2 linked regions of the Ovis aries genome follow. Each later gene encodes a partner of the first gene's protein in a complex. Links are inferred from orthologs where the notes say so. Each region holds a gene or a part of one and is shown on either strand. Other genes may lie near its edges.

The links. Proteins that work in one complex are often made in the same cells at the same time.
Region 2: NOD2 (region 1) and MAPK14 share a complex: the UniProt entries of both Homo sapiens proteins name them as parts of the signaling complex. The link is inferred for Ovis aries from reciprocal best matches to the Homo sapiens genes NOD2 and MAPK14.

The regions. Positions count from the first base shown.
Region 1 is NC_056067.1:18,618,212-18,621,857, reverse strand, and holds part of NOD2 (nucleotide-binding oligomerization domain-containing protein 2), read right to left. Parts: intron 3,081-3,646; exon of another isoform or gene 2,830-3,080; intron 1,697-2,829; 5' UTR 1,689-1,696; coding exon 1,230-1,688; intron 1-1,229. UniProt on the Homo sapiens protein: Pattern recognition receptor (PRR) that detects bacterial peptidoglycan fragments and other danger signals and plays an important role in gastrointestinal immunity.
Region 2 is NC_056073.1:10,093,776-10,097,521, reverse strand, and holds the start of MAPK14 (mitogen-activated protein kinase 14), read right to left. Parts: upstream 2,708-3,746; 5' UTR 2,706-2,707; coding exon 2,590-2,705; intron 1-2,589. UniProt on the Homo sapiens protein: Serine/threonine kinase which acts as an essential component of the MAP kinase signal transduction pathway.

The DNA.
Region 1 (3,646 bases):
GAGACCTGAGGGTCACTCTTTGGGAGAAAACAAAACCAAGAGCTTCAGAAATACCCTAAAGACATTTTTCTGTTCTTGTGGAATGGCATCTTCAGAGGCAGTTATCATAACCCTGAATGTTTATGAGCTAATGCAATTTCATATAGAAGTCCTATGTGGGCATTTAAACTACGTAAGTACATAGTGTTTTGAATTAATTATTAAACACAGATTTAACTTAATAAATGTTTGTGATCTGTTGAGCTGTTAATCTGAAGCAGACGGCACTGAAAGTGAACAAGTACAGAGCATCACCAGTTACAGAACTAATAGTAAACAGTGAGCAGATGAGCGCTGGGTGGTGGCTTAGTGCTCAGTCGTGTCCGACTCTGTGACCCCATGGCCTGTAACCCACCAGGCTGTGCTGTCCATGGGATTTCCCAGGCAAGAATACTGGAGTGGGTTGCCATTTCCTTCTCCACAATGCATACTTACTATGTGCTAGGTACTATTCTAAGAGTTATGTAGCTCACCGCATCAAATTCTCCCAAGACCTTACTGATGTTTCCCAGATGAGGAATCTGAGACAGGAGAGATTAAGGAATGAGAGCTTCCACAGAGAAATCTGAAGTCACAGGCCTTGAGCCTGCATCAGCCTGACTTCAGAATCCAAGATGCTCGCCACCACATAACAACATCTCGCATTAGAAGTGGCATGATACCAAAAGGCCACAGCAACTTTCACCTTCCCAGCTACCTTATTTATTTTTATTGATTAATTTTTGCCACACCATGCAACATTTGGGATCTTGGTTCTCCGACCAGGGATCAAATTTGTGCACCCTGCAGTGGAAACGTGGAGTCTTAACCACTGGATGGCCAGGAAAGACCGCTGGCTCCCAGGTGACACAGAGCTAAAGAATCCCCATGTTAGTGCAGAGACAAAGGAGACTTGGGTTCGATTCTTGGGTTGGGAAGATCCCCTAGAGAAGGAAATGGCAACCCGCTCCAGTATTCCCACCTGAAAAATCCCACGGACAGAAGAGCCTGGTGGGCTATAGTCCATGGGGTCACAGAGAGTCTGACAAGACTGAGCACGCATGCACACGCACGCATGCACACACACACGCACCTTTAAAGGAAGAGGACTATGACCCACAAGTCCCCACAGGCCTGATTTCACGAACTAGTCTCAATAGCTAAGCACACTTTTCCTCCGAAATCTGACGAGCCAAGAGGGAAGTGCTTACCCGCTGGGATGATGTGAAGATGGGCCGCCTGATTTCATCAGTTTCATACTGGCTGATGAAACCCCGCTGCTGTGTCAGGTCCAGCACACCCTCCACGTGGCCGTAGAGTCTCCTGACGATGGCTGGCCGATGACTCTGCAGGTCACGGGCTGGGTGGGGTGAGTGGGGGTCCCAGGAGCTGGGAAGCTCAGGGGGCTGGCTGTCGGCCTGGGCCTCCTGCACAGCTGCAGTCAGTTGCTCACAGCCCCAGGCACCCTTATTCCAGATGGTGTCCAGGAGGCGCCTGGCCAAGTGGGAGATGGGCTGGCCCACGAGGCTAAGCCCCTCATAGTCCTCCCAGGAGAGGACTTCCCGGGAAAGCAGCCGGTCCACAATACTCTCAAAGCCCTCCAGGGACCCCGAGACCAGCAACTCCACCAGCTGGCTTCTCTGTGTCTGAAAAGCATCTTGCGCGCACATTTCACAATCTGGGAGGAGAAAGAGGTCAGCGCAGGGCTTCTCAGAAAGCAGGCGGAGGGTAGTGGAGAGGGCAAGTCTGCCCCACCCTGAGGCCAAGGCAGCCACAGCTGTACCCTCAGACACTACCAAGGCAAGCTCCCCATTGTACAGATGTACAAACTGAGGCTCAGAGAAGGCAAACTGGCTTGTGGTCTCACAGATGATCTGAAGCAGCCAGGAGTTAAATTAAGGCCCCTAGCTGCGACATCTATGCATCATCCCTGGTTTAACAAGTTTATGACTTCCCTGGTGGTTGAGTGGTGAAGAATCCGCCTGCCAATGCAAGGGACAAGGTTCGAACCCTGGTGCGGGAAGATTCCAAATGCTGCAGGGCAACTAAGCCTGACACAATTACTGCACCCGCACCAAAGAGCCTGCAGGCCGCAACTGCTGAAGACCGTATGCCCTAAAGAAAGAAGCCACTGCACCGGGAAGGCCACAGGCCACCACTACTGCGGCCCCCACTCACTACAACCAGAGAAACCCCACGGGCAGTAGTGAAGAACTTTTGGTCCTCTGCCAAAAATAAATAAAATTTTTTAAAAAATTTAAAAAGGATTCTGTTAATATTAGGAGCAATGTCTCCCGAGGAATCGGGGAATCATTTCTCAACGAGAGGTCCCTTCTATGCTGGTTGGATTCACGCTACCATAGCTCTCTCTTCAATAATGGCTAATGTTTATTAATTAACCACATATACCATGTCAGGCACCATCCTAAGTGTTTTCGATTAACCCCGCCAACCACTCTGAATTTGGTACTAGGATCAGCCCTACTTTACATATGAAGAAACTGAGTCAGAGAGAAGCTTGGTGACCTACGCAAGGGTTGAGGTAGAGCCAGGATCTGAACCCCAGCAGAGCAACTCCAGAAGGCATGCCTTTCATTCCCTTGTATTTGGGTTCCCTACAGAGGCCCAAGCCCAGACCTGTGTACATAACCCACGGCGACCCCCCCAGGACAGACCCAGAACACTGCTGTAAAGATGCCAACCCAGGTGAAGTGAAACTCGTGGTGCTTTTCAAAGCCTGTGGATGCACTGACTCCCATCTACTCTTCCCCTCCCCAAATGCCCAGGCCCTCCCCTGCCCCCACCACACACCGTGCGCTGTCACCTCTGCCAATGGCTTACTCTGGGCTCAGCCTTCAGACTCTGGGTCCTGGGAGTCCGTGGGAAGCGATCTCACAGAGCTCCAAGCCCTGGCAGGGTCCCCACGCAGCAGAGAAAATCTCACAGCAGGTTCCCTTCTGTGATGGTCACGCAGTCCAGGGATGTGGGCTGGTGCAGTGCCCACAGAGAGTGAAAGTGAAAGGACGTAGGCATGGGAACCGAAGAGGAACTCCAGCGTCTGTCTACAAAACAGGGACATTCCAGGAGACTCAAGGGAGCAGACGCCAAGGGGCTTGGAAAGTCTGCCTTTTCCCTATTGGTTCTTTATGTGCCTAACTCCCTTCTTGGCCCAAGTGGAAGCCTGGGTTTTACTCATCCTGGCATCTCTAAGCCTGGCATGGAGCTGGGCCATGGGGAAGTACAGTGGGAATGTTCATGAATCAAAAATCCACTAAAAAGGGGTGGGGCTGTAACATTCTGTACCCGTCCTCACATGCCAGCCAAAGGAAGGGAAAGGAGAGATCGCAGCTCAGAATCCTGCCAACATGTAGGCTGGAATTCCTGTGCTGGCTAGATGAGGAAACTGAGGCAGCCAGGTGGCCCACGTGTCTGGCAGCTTCGGGGGCTGTGAATCCCCAATGCGGAGGCCACTGTAAACCAGAAAGGAACCCAGTTCTCTCTGGCCAAGCAGGCCTCCTCCCTGTGCCCAGTGCCAAGCAGAGGAGTCCAGAGGATAGAAGTGGGGAGAGGGGAGAGGAGAGAACAAGATGGGGTAGGACAGGCTCTGGGCTTGACGCTGGAGTGGTTC
Region 2 (3,746 bases), on another chromosome or scaffold:
ATCATACTTGCGTTACTAGATACTTAGTACAAATGAAAACACTGAAAATTGGCTTATTATTTAATTTTTAAAGTTAACACATCAAAGTGTATCACACTTCAGAGCAATCAAATTAGGAAACTGACACATTATTTCAGTGATGTTGCATTCCTTGAAATACTTTCAGAGATTCTTTTTTGGAACAGACTTCAATCCAGTTCTACAAGTCCCACAGGAAATTCTGTGTCATTACTTTACGGTTACAACTCCTATTTGACCTCAAACAGTATCACCAGCCTGGCTGCCTGATCTTTTTCACCAGACTTGAGCCCAAATTCTCTAAATGATTTGGATTCAATCTAACTTCGTTATTTCCTAAAATCAAATCTGCTCTAAAAAAAAAATGAAGAGAGTGAAAAATAACACAGGCTCCAAAGTGGATTCTAAGAGAAGTTTAAAAAACATTTTTTTTTTCTGCCACACCTAAAAGCTGCTGACTGAAAGAACAACTTGAAATAACTACTCTGAATGAGATAACACATGTGAATGTAAATTCTGATATTTTCAATCCAAAATCAACTATACTTGTTTACGGTCAACTGTCACATAATATTGGTTATTTTTCTCCACCAATATGTTATAGGTTACACCTTAAACAACCTTAGCAGAACTGCCTCCACAGAAAGACACACAAGAAACTTAACAGGGGTGGTCTCTTGAGAAAAGAACTAGTCCAGCTGGACAAAGAGAATGGAAACTTTTCACTGTCTTTCTATGCCTTTTACATTTTATACAATGTGAATGTACTACCTACTTTTAAAAACCTGTTTAACAAAATTACTTCCAAGTGTCAGTTTTGATGGCTTCTATAAACCAGAAAAATAAAGCACTAAAAAATGTGGAGTTCATGTTTTATCAGCACTTCACTGGATCTCCAGTGCCAGGGCTGAGTTACTCACATCAACTGTAGGGAAACCTTGCAAGCAGTTCACTAACTCCCCACAGTTGAGCCGTATCACTCCACTAAAGTTTAAACAACAATGATAGGAAACAAAAATTCAGTACCACAAAAATTAATGTGTCAATTCCAGAATGAAAACTGGCCGTAAACAAGTGAGCTATTAAAGCAGCAATGATCCAAACACATCTTCGAAAATTAGCGAATCAACAGCACGCTATAAAAATGGAAAAAAGATGTCAAGCATAGGGCCATCAGCGACATCACTCAAGCAGCCTGAACTAGAAAACGCAATATGATCTGTTGCTGGACACAATTGCACAATCTCAATTACCCAGAAGATTCTACCAAACAGGAAATTCATGCTGGGGCTTTAAGAAACACAGGAATTATATTCAAAGATTACCAAGTCTAAAAGCCTGGAACCTGCCCCGAAACAAAAAACTAATTTTGTAGACCTCTTTGCAAATAATGCATGCACAGGAATTACATGAATTAGCTTCAGGTCAGCTCTCAAATTACACAAAATCTAAAATACAGTGTATAAAACCTTAGAAGTTAGAAAAGTTAGTGAACTGAGTCTGGAAATTTTACAGTAGCGTTTCATTTAAAAGACATTCATAGTGTGAATTAAAGCTGAAAAGTGTCTCTTCCTTCTTTTGCTATATATTCCATATCCCATGAAAACCATTATGTACCTCTCAGGCCTTAAGTGCAGATTAAGTTCTCTGCAAACCCTCTAAAGGACTTTAAAAACACAGTGTTTCACAAGAATTATCACGATTAAAAAATATTTATAATACATCGCAGCATTGTTAAAAACTTTTTGATCTTGAGGGCGTCCAACGGATCTGAACCTCACTTGCTCCAAAGGAGAAAATCGTTTTGTCAAACAATACTTAAATGAGCAGTGGTATGTGACTAATCAGCGAGGCCGCCAGCTTCTCAAGCTGCAGGCACTACCACCACCCCCCACTCTGCGAAAAGGAAATACGCTTTCAACTGAATCGGAAACACACCACTCAAGCTGGCACAGGGCTCACCGAGATAAAGTCGGTATTTTAAGCTCCCTGGATAGCTGCTAATTCAAGTGCGAATTCAAAAAGAACCCTTCTCAAAATGCAATTTCGACAGAGGTTTGCAAAAAAGCCCGAACTCAACGCCCTTCGTCCTCAGTTTTGTTCAGATGACCGCAGTCGAGCTTTGCCCTTCTGCTTCTCCGGGCAGCTTCCCGGGCTTGTCTGCTCCGAGGGCAGGCACATCTCGAGAGAGTCCTTCTGCTCGATGCCAGCAGGGAGAGACCTCCGAAGAGGGACCCCTGTTCCTGCCCCCGTAGCAGCACCGCCCCCCCACCCCCACCCCCACCCCCAAGGGAACGCGCAGGGTGCGAGTCAGGGCCCGGCTCCAACACCATCACCCACCGCCCACAGCGGACCTGCGTCCTACACACAGCTGACCATCTACGTGGGCGTGCAGGGTGGGGGTGCAAGGGGGACAGGGAGTGCAGGACAGGGGTCGAAGAGGGCTGGGATGCCCTCCCCCCAAGGAAAATTCCTGCCGCTGGGTGCATTGCTGAGCCGTGGGGGCAGGCCTGACTCCAGGGCATACGGAGACACCCGGCCCAGCGAGGCCCCCGGCCCGGTGACACTCACCACACAGAGCCATAGGCGCCGGAGCCCACCGGGGACAGGTTCTGGTAACGCTCGGGCACCTCCCAGATGGTCTTGTTCAGCTCCTGCCGGTAGAACGTGGGCCTCTCCTGAGACATCTTCCAGCGGTGGCCGCGGGGCGAGGAGGTGGCCCTTGCAGGGCCCCGCCTGCACCCGCACCCGCTTCCCCTGACCTCGTAGCCCGCCCGGCCGGGCGGGGACCCCTGCGCTGGCCGCCCGCGCAGGTGCGGCTGCGGCGACCCTGAAGAAGCCCGCGCGCGCGCGCGGCCCCTGTCAGCCGCAGCGGCTGGACGCGCCTCACCGACGGCGGGGGAAGCACTGCGAAGGGCCGGGGCACGCTCCGGGGCCCTGGGCTGGCGCCCCGCCCAGCTCTCCCTGCGCTCTCTCCACACCCGGCCGACTCCCGGCTGCGCGGCGGGGTCACAGCTCCAGCTGCAGCGCCCGCGGAGCTTCCAGTGGTCGCCTTTCCCAGAGCCAGCGAACAGGAGCCTCCCGCCGTGCTCTCGCGAGAACAGCTCCCGGACCTCTCCTCGAGCCGAGATTTTACCCAATATGGAACCTGCCCGCGGGAGGGGGGTTGATGAAGGGAGAGCTTGGGAGAAGTAATTCTCGCGAGAAGAGAGCAACAGCTGGCCCCTAGAGGCAGGAACTCCCAGGGATTGCTCTCCTTTAGCGCGCGAAGGCGGACCCGGGAAGGAGCGGAGAAGCAGACGATACAGGCCGCGCGCGCCCCATCGTGGTCGGCGGGGCAAGTGCTTGGCTCCCTGTTGGAAAGAGACAGTGACAAATCAATCGGGTGTCTGGGAAAAGAGCCAAAAGACCTTTAAACGGTGGGTAATCACCAGCAGCTGAGCACCTGCTCGGCGGAAAACCCCCAATTTCCAAGAAGTACTTGCATAAAAAAGAGAAAGATTCCGGCCAGAAAGCCGTTGTAGTCCCATCTGCTCAAGGACATACACTTACTCTTCGGAATGCTGACGAAATCTGTCTCAAAGGTAAATATTAGCCCTGAATTAAGGTTGAGGTTTTTCCACCCAGACACTTCTAGTAGTTCTCAAACTTTTACGTGCAGAAGAAGCACCTTGGGCGCTTAAAAATGAACAGCGAGTTTGATTAGATGGGTCCCAGAGGGACTCCAA